Saccharomyces cerevisiae S288C: one gene and its partners. Changing the gene in region 1 together with any one later gene gives a genetic interaction. Each region holds a gene or a part of one and is shown in the gene's direction. Other genes may lie near its edges.

Evidence for each region.
Region 2: mutations in EMI2 (region 1) and GAT2 together harm fitness more than expected from each alone (negative genetic interaction), as found in Saccharomyces cerevisiae (one large-scale study listed by BioGRID).
Region 3: mutations in EMI2 (region 1) and CPS1 together harm fitness more than expected from each alone (negative genetic interaction), as found in Saccharomyces cerevisiae (one large-scale study listed by BioGRID).

The regions. Positions count from the first base shown.
Region 1 is NC_001136.10:1,474,421-1,478,177, reverse strand, and holds EMI2 (putative glucokinase), read left to right. Parts: upstream 1-1,701; coding exon 1,702-3,204; downstream 3,205-3,757. Other genes in the region: GRH1 (Grh1p), read right to left, coding at 1-939; SLF1 (Slf1p), read right to left, coding at 3,406-3,757. UniProt on the Saccharomyces cerevisiae protein: Putative glucokinase involved in phosphorylation of aldohexoses and glucose uptake. Involved in sporulation. Required for the full activation of the early meiotic inducer IME1.
Region 2 is NC_001145.3:539,093-542,849, forward strand, and holds the start of GAT2 (Gat2p), read left to right. Parts: upstream 1-2,106; coding exon 2,107-3,757. Other genes in the region: glucose-induced degradation complex subunit GID8, read right to left, coding at 1-964.
Region 3 is NC_001142.9:95,915-99,671, forward strand, and holds CPS1 (Gly-Xaa carboxypeptidase), read left to right. Parts: upstream 1-1,822; coding exon 1,823-3,553; downstream 3,554-3,757. Other genes in the region: KRE9 (Kre9p), read left to right, coding at 1-8; RFA3 (Rfa3p), read right to left, coding at 247-615. UniProt on the Saccharomyces cerevisiae protein: Necessary for use of certain peptides as sole nitrogen source. May also cleave intracellularly generated peptides to recycle amino acids for protein synthesis.

The DNA.
Region 1 (3,757 bases):
TGGCACAAAAGCCGTCTCAGATTCTACTGGAACAGGAACAGGAACAGGGTTGTCATCTTGCCCCTGCTGCTGTGCTTGTTGTGGACAGTGCTTTACTGTTGGAATCCTGTGAAGAAACCCGTATCCAACGTTGCAACCCAACCTGCCGTCGGGACCTATATGAACTGTGATTGGTCTCACACAGTCAGAAACTTTGTTGTAGACATAAAGGACCAGATCGTAGTTTGCTCTTGATCTAACAATATCTTGTAAAAGCGTCTCCCCTCCCGTGGCCAACAGGCCATCTTGGCAGCCGATAATGTAGTCTTCATCTGGGATGAGCCCTGCCGATTGGGCGGGTCCATCTGGGATGTTCACGTTCAGGATATGGTATGTGAAAGTGGAAGCTATCAAAGGCGTCCATTGGACTTTGAACCCGAGTGCTTGGAACTGGTGCGCTTCCCCACTAGATGGCCTCCTCTCGTCATGGTTTAGAGAAACATCGTCCAAATCGTCGCTCTCCTTCGATATAATGCTGATATACTCGTCTCTGAACGTGCCTCCTTTAGCTGACCATATGTTGACCTTCAAAGTTCGGCCACAGTGTTCATTGAAGATGGATGTGATACGACGGTAATCTGGGTACGAAAATCCGTGTTGATTACTGACCACCGGCACCGGATCATCATTGAAACCTACTATATAGTCGAAAAAGGACTGCAGTTGGAACTGCATCTCGTCCACCCAAACAATGCGGAGACCGGAAAGCGTTTCATTGACGTTGGTGTGCTTAACACCTTCAGAAACCGCATCTACGGGTGATTCCAACTGAGCAGACAACAAATTTGGTGGTATAGACTGAAAGAAAGCGTCCAGATTGCTCGAGTCCTGCGAGAGTGCCAGGGTATCTTGCACGCTCTGCTCAAAAGTCCGTACGAGGTTTTTAGCTATTCTAAACATAGTTCTTCTTCCTATACCTTTTTACTTCCCTAGTTTCGCACGCTGTGTCGGTCGCAGTTACAGTAGTAGTCTCAGCACCCCTGTTCTTGGTCCTGATCCCGTTGCGACAAGCCCATTTCTTTTATGATAGCCAAAATGCAACTAAACCTCGTCGTCGTCGGCTTGCGTGTCCGCCGCGAAGACAGAAAAATAACGAAACGAACTTAATAGAAACGACCTAGATTTTATTTGGAAGCCAGCCCGATGCTATCTTCAAAATGGCTGTCACTGGGTGCAAAGGCGGTGGGAGAGCCCATTAAGTAATTTAATCGGGTTGTCTCACCAATGTTAGCCACAACGCAACGCTACGTCGCCACTCTGGCAGCCACCGCAACGAGCAGTAGCAACTACTTTCGGGTGGGCCCTTCAGGGGTAGTTGCCTGCGTCTTTGTTCGAAGAATCAAGTGACAAAAAACGCGGGGCATCCAGAAAGTCTTTTTGTGTGTGTCGTCGAAAGGGAAAGTGAGAGAGTGAGAGTGAATTAGTGTTTGTGTGTGTGGAAGACAGAGGAAGAAGATCGGGTCGTCGAATTCTATTATGCTTGCGATGCAGGGGGGGGAAACATGTATTCGGGATTATATAAAGTCGATTCTGTGTAAGTGTAAAATCTCATCTTGTCTCGTGTTCTTTTGTACGTCTCATACTTATAGGAAGTTTAAATAGAAACAGATATCAGTGTATCAAGGAAGAATTGTACAAGAATCGAATCATAGATACACAGTAATGTCATTTGAAAATTTACATAAAGTCAATGCTGAGGCATTGGAAGATGCAGTGGTTGAGATCTGCTCCTCATTGCAGGTTGATGCAGCAAAGTTGGACGAACTAACAGCGTACTTCATTGAATGTATGGAAAAGGGGTTGAATAACACCTCTGTAGGCGAAGAAAAGACGGTGGACAAGGGTCTACCCATGATCCCTACATATGTAACCAGTTTGCCCAATGGGACGGAACGTGGTGTTTTGCTGGCTGCAGATTTAGGTGGGACTCACTTCAGAGTGTGTTCTGTGACTTTGAATGGTGACGGAACCTTTGATATGCAGCAATTGAAGTCTAAGATTCCGGAAGAATATCTAAATGACAAGGATGTCACCAGCGAGGAGCTGTTTAGCTACCTGGGTCGCCGTACAAGGGCCTTCGTTAGGAAGCATCATCCTGAGTTGTTGAAGTCCACGGGGGAGAACATAAAACCTTTGAAAATGGGATTTACCTTCTCATATCCCGTTGACCAAACCTCTTTGAGTTCCGGTACTTTAATCAGATGGACCAAAAGCTTCAAGATTGAAGACACGGTCGGCAAGGATGTCGTGAGGTTATACCAGGAGCAATTAGACATTCAGGGGCTCTCTATGATTAATGTGGTAGCTTTGACCAACGACACGGTTGGCACTTTCCTATCCCACTGCTACACTTCAGGCTCTCGTCCATCGAGTGCTGGTGAGATTAGCGAGCCTGTCATTGGTTGTATCTTTGGTACTGGTACTAACGGTTGCTATATGGAGGATATTGAAAACATCAAGAAGCTACCAGATGAGCTCAGAACAAGACTGCTGCATGAAGGAAAAACCCAAATGTGCATCAACATCGAATGGGGTTCTTTCGACAATGAATTGAAACATTTGTCTGCTACAAAGTATGACATCGATATTGACCAAAAATTTTCTCCAAATCCAGGTTACCATCTATTTGAAAAAAGAATTTCCGGCATGTACTTGGGTGAGCTGTTAAGGAACATCCTGGTGGACTTGCATGCAAGGGGCTTAATCTTGGGACAGTATCGTAATTACGATCAATTACCTCACCGTTTAAAGACTCCTTTCCAATTGTGCAGTGAAGTTCTTTCCAGGATTGAAATCGATGATTCGACAAACTTGCGTGAAACTGAATTGTCGTTTTTGCAGAGTTTGAGGCTACCGACCACTTTTGAAGAACGTAAAGCAATTCAAAATCTGGTCCGTTCCATTACGAGAAGGTCTGCATATCTAGCAGCCGTTCCGATTGCCGCCATCCTAATCAAGACAAACGCTTTGAACAAAAGATATCACGGTGAGGTAGAAATTGGTTTTGACGGTTATGTCATCGAATACTATCCTGGATTCAGATCCATGCTGAGACATGCTTTGGCATTAAGTCCAATTGGCACTGAGGGTGAACGTAAGATACATTTGCGTCTAGCCAAAGATGGGTCCGGTGTTGGCGCAGCTTTGTGTGCTCTGGTGGCATAAAACATATCTGTTCTTAACAGCTTATTTTTAGTTTGTTTTCGTTTTCCTCTATATAAATATCTTATGTATCTGTTATATAAAAAATTATTTAGTACGAATTGAAATGAAATGTTATGTTATATTTTTAGAGAGAATCTGCTATTACTTTATACATGTTAACTATATACATAATAAAAAAAAAAAAAAAAATATTGTCTAAAATTAATCATTTATTTGTAAGTTTTGTTCAAACTGCCTGCTAATTTCACCTTGGTCATAGCTCTGACTCTTTTTCCCATTTTCATTACTGGGAAAGAAGTTTGGATAGCCCATATAAGAATAATTGTCTAAATCGTTCGGTCCCAATAGTTTCTCAATGTTGTATTTTTCAGTTTCGTCATCATTTTCATCAAAATTACTTTCCATAGCGTATTCAGCCCAATTTTCGCGCCTAATAAAATAGTTTTCCAATGGATTGAAATCATCTGCCATGTTCTTCTGAGCACCTTCTATGCTTCCAAGGGCAATTTCCAAATGGTTTGTTTCTTTATGTTGTAAAACTTCTCTCATAGAT
Region 2 (3,757 bases), on another chromosome or scaffold:
TCTTGTCGGAATTTAACAAATCTGGAAATTTGGAATTATTATTGCTGATCTCAAATTGAATCCTTGGATGAATAAACTTCAGCAGCTTCTCATTAACCAGATCTGCTATCTTAGATCTTAGAGATATCGAGTACAGATTTTGTAACGATTTGGGCAGCTTAATGCTGCCGCTGTCCGCCGAATCTGACAAGGGGAAAAGCAGCAGAGTCATTGCTAATTCTAACTCTTGCATCTTTTTGACACTTGACGAAGCCTTTATTGCAAGTTTATTTTGAGAATACTGAATTAGATTGAGTATAAAGTCGTTGGAATCCTTGGTGATGTTCTCCTGTTGATGGTGACTTCTTATCATCTCGATCAAATTCAGTAACAGCAGTTTGAAGTGTAAATCTCCATCTATGTCAAACTGCTGCTGCTGCTGCTGCTGCTGCCTGTCAGTTCTACCCGTATAACTTCCCGTAGCATTGAAAGTCTCTTCCAGCACCTCCAGCCCGAAGATAGAGTTTATCTCCTCCATCGCCTCATTGATACGCCCCAGCTTAATAAGATGTTTGATATGGAAACGCTCCTTGATCTTGTACAAATCATTGAAAACCGCAATGTCTTTGTTGTTCCGTATAAATCCCAGCTCCTTGGCCATCCTAATGCTCGAGTCTTCATATGCCATAGAAACAAAGTAGTTCAACAGAAGCCGTGGCAGTGTGGGCTCTATGGGTGTGGTCTGTATGGTAGCAAATCCCTCGTCCTGCGAGCCGCCACTGCTGTTGGGCTGAATTTTCAGCGGATAATGTATTGTCTTATTTGCATATAGCTCGCCCATGGCAGAATACTTGGCCACCTGCTCCTTCCATTCTTCCTTCGTGAAGCACTTCTTTCCATACGTAAAGTCTTTCCCACCATTCTTGCCTTGGCCGCTGCAAGATCCGCTCTTCGTGGTCTCGTTACTAAGAGTAGATATAGTCATTTCTATTTGTTACCACACACAAATATATCTTCATCCGGCTGATATTTGTCTCTACTGCCCCTTTGCTTGCAATTTAATGACCAAATTACACATGTTAGCTTCAAGAAAAATGATGTACCATCAAAATGTCTCCTGCAACGAACCGGGGCACCGCGCCGGCAGAGTCAGGAAAGCGAGATCGACACTGATAGTGATAAACAGCAACACAATGGAGCGATTACCATTCACTCGGAACGGATCCGGACAACAGTCAAATAAACTCCGGGATCCCAAAAAGGGCCGTACACACAAACCCAAGCCGAGCGAAAAACACAAAAAAAATAAAACAGGGAAAAAAGGAGCGCAAGAGAAAACGCACAGGAGTAGGAGCAGCAGAAAGGGGAACTAATATGGTTTTTCCGTTTGCTTATTTTTATTTTTTTGTTGAGTCATGGGCACGTCACCGCACAACAGCCGCCGCAGGCCTGTACCGCTACGCGTCTATCACTGCGAAACATCGCTACTTCTGTCGCCGCGTCGACGCTGGTCCAGACCACAAAAGGATGCACGATCAGAAGCACTGTACCCTGCAGAGTTGGAGATAGTGTAACCGTGACTTCATTTTTCAAGCGTGGTTTCACATTCTTTTTGCACCGCCCTTATCTCAGATATAGTTTCGTTCGGTTGCTTTGCTTTCCCCAACTGAAGGTGCTGGATGGCGGTTTTTCCGGCTGCTGCGATTTTCCCTGCGCGGGGCCCGGCGCGGAATTGTGCAAAAGCTAAAACTCAACGGTTATTTTGAAATATAAGGTTATAAGCAAATTTCCTAAATTTGCTTAATTGTTAATGCAGTTGTTATTGCATTAAGACATTCGGCTATCGTTTCCTTTCTTCGTGTCGGCAATCTTGTATAAAAGTTATTTTTTGAGTTTCAGTTTCTTGTATATCTTGGTATATATTGAAGGAGGATTTTTTCTTTCCTGGTCCTTTTACTTCCTTGCGTCCCCTCATATTTCTTCTATTTCCGTTCACGGCGTTTTTTTATTTTCTCCATCTACTTTTAGTGATTTCCTTTGCTCTAATATTGTTTTCGTTCATAGTGAATTGTTTGTTTTCACTTTAATAAAGGGCTTTTACGACTTGTCTCAAAAAATTTCATCGAGATGCAAGCCCCCAATATCTACCCCTTCTCTCAAACACAGCCACAAGCACTGCCCGGGTTCACATACGGTCCTCCACAACTTGTTTTTGACCATTCTGCTCCGAGAGTAGATCCTTTGCATTCTACTGTAACTATAAATTCTCCATTACCCTTGCAGCATTATAATGGACCGAATGCCCATATAAACAGCGCAAACAACAACTACGCATACTACTATCATCATCCCAACAATAATGATAACAACAACCATAGTAACAACACTATAAAAAATAACAACATTAATTCTGTTCTTCCCGCCGTTAATATTCAAATATCCAACAACTCACATTATAGAAATACACACCAAATTCCTTCTGCTCCTCAGCGGCTGGTCAGCATCATACCGGATCCCCACATGCCGCCCAATATTTCTCACTTTCAGCTAAATAATATTCACCCTCAAATGCATGCTCCTGTTGCTACTGATATTCATTTCCAACAAGTACCAGTTTACAATAAAACCAATAATGGCATTGGTACTGATAACATTAATAACGATAAACCCGTAAACTCGAATCAGAATGAAGTGCTGGACAATATTGATGAACGTTCCTGTCATGAAATTAACAGGGTAGTTTCATTTTCTAAACATTTTGAAAACAACGAACTTACCACTACAGCAAATGATCTAAACATTCAATCTACTATGGATGAATTAGCTAAACTGAAATCTTTATCAAATTCTACCCATTTCAGGCAGAGTATTGCTACTCAGAATTTCCATTCTTTACAAAATCATATCACAACCATCGAAAACCGTCTGGCTTCTTTACTTACTGACAGACAACAAGAGCAGCAACAGTTGAAGCAGCAAGAGTCTGAAAAGGAGAGCTCTTCACCGTTTTCCAATAAGATAAAGTTACCTTCCTTACAGGAATTAACTGACTCCATCTCCACCCAACATCTTCCAACATTCTATGACAATAAAAGGCATGCTTCGGATACCGATTTAAAGAGTAGCACCTTACATGGTCCATTATATCACCGTCACGCTTTTCTTTCAACCTCTTCTTCCTCACCCTCCCCCACGGCCGGTTCCGCGCCTCTTCAAAAGTTACAGGTTCCAAGACAAGACGATCCAAACGATAAGAAAATGAATATTTCATCATCTCCCTTCAATTCAATAACCTACATTCCAAACACTACGTTATCTCCAATGGTGCAAACGCAGTTAAAGAACTTAACCACTTCTAACCTCAACACGAAAAAGAAGAATAACAGAGGCAGACCAAGAGCTATTCAGAGACAACCCACGCTGACCACTTCCAGCCATTTCATCAATAATTCCAATCCTGGTGCTGCTGCAGTTTCAACGACAACTCCCGCCGCTAATAGCGATGAAAAGAATCCTAATGCAAAAAAAATCATCGAGTTTTGTTTCCATTGCGGGGAGACCGAGACTCCAGAATGGAGAAAGGGACCATATGGCACAAGAACTTTGTGTAATGCCTGTGGGTTATTTTATAGGAAAGTCACCAAGAAATTTGGCTCAAAAAGCAGTAATTTGTTGTTAAGATATAGAAGATCTATTGATTTAGCCAACGATCGTAGAATTCCTGATTTTATCACTATTCCAAACAGGTTTATTCATGATATGGATAATGATCAAACGT
Region 3 (3,757 bases), on another chromosome or scaffold:
AAGTATGAAAAATAGACGGCTTCTACTATCATCATTACAGTAAGGGTTGAAGTCAGGAAAGGTTAAAAATAAAATAAATATCAAAAAGTTTTTAGCGGAAGGCGTTAAGGCAGCAAGTACACATTCATTTATCTATCTATACATCTATAAACACAACTACAATTTTTTTAGAAATGGAATTTATTATATGAAGGGAAGACATATAGAGGCAACAGTACATAAAGGTAAGAATAAAAGCGATTTTAGCTAGTATATTTCTGGGTATTTCTTACATAGTCTCTGTAAAGCAACCACACCGTTTAAGCTTAAATCTTCGTTCTCCTTGAATTTGCATAGTACAGCGTCTAGAATCAAAAATCCTAGCTCGCCGTCATCATTGTTCCTGCAAACAAACTCATACCACGAGTCGATCTCAAATGTTTTATTCATAGATACACGAATATTGTTCAACGTAATCATTTCAACCTCGCTGCCGTTTTTCGATGATATGGTTGGCGATTGTAAAATCAACTGAGATTCAGTGGGTTGTGATTTGATTTGCGCTATTATCCTAAACACAGGAGCATTGACGTTGGAGATTTCTGTGGGGTCAACTCTTGGTGTTTCGCTGGCCATTTTTACTTGTGTTACTGGTAGACGATGTTCTACAAGAATGGTGAAGGGTGTGTTATATTGCTCTTTATTTAAACACGAACGAAAAAAATATCGCGTATTGCCACATTTGGCGCGTCAATATTAAAGAACGAAGGCATTATATAGGGCGACTTGTCATGATTCCAACCATGGCATGGGCGGTGGATGCTTCTCAGCAGTGGCCCATTACGTTAGTCAACGACTGTTGGCTGTCATCTGTTCTTGTTGGGTGCTTGCAGCTGCATCGACAAACATGGATGGATGCCTCTACATATATATATATATTTATGTAATGGACCTCTGAATATTTTACTATGTAACTGACTATAGGAGATACCACTGGTGCTGTAGTACAATTTAGCACTTGCAAGCGTTGACACAGTTGTTGCGAAGGCCTCTTTCTTGTAGCACTTAATTGGAGTATGACTGCCATCATGTAGGGAAATTATGAAAGCATAGGATCAATCTTGACGTTGCAAAGAAGAAGAGACTTGCTGTTCCCTATTGATCACTTACCGTTATTGGAGTTCATATGGTACTTTTTTCATAATTTTACGAGTAATCCCTAGTGGTAGTTAATATTCAGCAAATAAAATACCAGTTTGAGACCAAAGGTAAGATAAGAGTTTACTGATAAAGACAAAGAATTGGGATGACCTAGTCCAAGGGATTATAGTACCTTCGCGAGTATTGCATATAAGCTTTTAGCGATACACAAACAAAGCGACACCGGGATTTGCATATCGCTTGTTCCTACGACGTTGTCAGTTCCATAACCTCTGATTTCCCATACGGATTTTGAAAATCAGCTACGAATAGATAGTCTTTTTCTATTTTCAGTAAATGTGTCATTGAAAAAAGTTTCTTTAGAACGACGCTTTTTGCAGGCTACTAGAAACACCCACTTCTAGTAGCTTTACGTGACGAATTGAACCGCGTGATCTTGTGCACTGTTATCCTAAATGCTCAATGCTCAGAACATCTTCTTGTTATCTCAGCCTCGCCACCCTTATCTTATCATAGCGGCCTTTTATTTTCCCCTTTGGGCAAAATACGATACAGCCTTCCAAGGTCGGGCAAGAAAGTTTATGACATATAAAAGAAACGGGTACCCCAAATACGTCTCTTCCCATTGTAAAACTAATCCTGCATCATCACATTAAGGAATCATTCATCTAACAATTACATTATGATCGCCTTACCAGTAGAGAAGGCCCCTAGAAAGTCCCTATGGCAAAGGCACAGAGCCTTTATTAGTGGAATAGTTGCCCTTATTATCATCGGCACCTTCTTCCTCACTTCGGGTCTCCACCCAGCACCACCTCATGAGGCAAAGCGTCCACACCATGGAAAAGGTCCCATGCACTCACCCAAATGTGAGAAGATTGAACCATTAAGTCCATCATTCAAACATTCCGTCGACACAATTCTTCATGACCCTGCCTTTAGAAACAGCTCCATTGAGAAACTGTCCAATGCTGTTAGAATCCCCACTGTAGTCCAAGACAAAAACCCCAACCCCGCAGATGATCCGGATTTCTATAAGCATTTTTATGAACTACACGACTATTTTGAGAAGACTTTCCCTAATATTCACAAGCATTTGAAATTGGAGAAAGTCAATGAGCTGGGTCTTCTATACACATGGGAAGGTTCTGATCCTGATCTAAAACCATTATTGTTAATGGCCCATCAAGATGTTGTACCTGTAAACAACGAAACTTTATCATCCTGGAAGTTCCCTCCATTTTCTGGTCACTATGATCCAGAAACAGATTTTGTTTGGGGGCGTGGTTCTAACGATTGTAAGAACTTGTTAATTGCCGAGTTTGAAGCTATCGAACAACTGTTGATAGATGGATTCAAGCCCAACAGAACTATTGTTATGTCGCTTGGTTTTGATGAAGAAGCAAGCGGCACCCTCGGTGCTGCCAGCTTAGCCTCATTTCTTCACGAAAGATATGGTGATGATGGTATTTACAGTATCATTGACGAGGGTGAAGGTATCATGGAAGTCGACAAGGATGTCTTTGTTGCCACTCCAATCAACGCTGAAAAAGGCTATGTCGACTTCGAAGTCAGTATTCTAGGCCATGGTGGTCATTCCTCTGTCCCACCTGATCATACCACAATCGGTATCGCTTCAGAACTGATTACTGAATTTGAAGCCAACCCATTTGACTACGAATTTGAGTTTGACAATCCAATCTATGGATTGTTGACATGTGCTGCTGAACATTCTAAATCTTTAAGTAAGGATGTGAAGAAGACAATTTTGGGCGCACCATTCTGTCCTAGAAGGAAGGACAAGCTTGTTGAGTACATTTCCAACCAATCACATTTGCGCAGCTTAATAAGAACAACACAAGCTGTTGATATCATCAATGGTGGTGTTAAAGCTAATGCTCTGCCCGAAACTACCAGATTCTTGATCAATCACAGAATTAATTTACATTCTTCTGTGGCTGAAGTCTTTGAAAGAAACATAGAATATGCGAAAAAGATTGCTGAGAAGTATGGCTATGGTTTATCTAAGAACGGTGACGATTACATTATCCCTGAAACCGAGTTAGGTCACATTGACATTACTCTCTTGAGAGAATTGGAACCAGCACCACTTTCGCCAAGTTCAGGCCCTGTTTGGGACATTTTGGCAGGTACTATTCAAGATGTTTTTGAAAACGGTGTTCTACAAAACAACGAAGAGTTCTATGTGACTACTGGTTTATTCTCTGGTAACACCGATACTAAATACTACTGGAATTTGTCCAAGAACATTTATAGGTTTGTTGGCTCTATCATTGATATTGATTTACTGAAGACATTGCATTCGGTTAATGAACACGTGGATGTCCCAGGTCATTTATCTGCCATTGCCTTTGTTTACGAGTATATCGTTAATGTTAACGAATACGCTTAAGCGCAATGATTGAATAGTCAAAGATTTTTTTTTTTTAATTTTTTTTTTTTAATTTTTTTTTTTTTTCATAGAACTTTTTATTTAAATAAATCACGTCTATATATGTATCAGTATAACGTAAAAAAAAAAACACCGTCAGTTAAACAAAACATAAATAAAAAAAAAAAGAAGTGTCAAATCAAGTGTCAAATCAAAATTTAAATG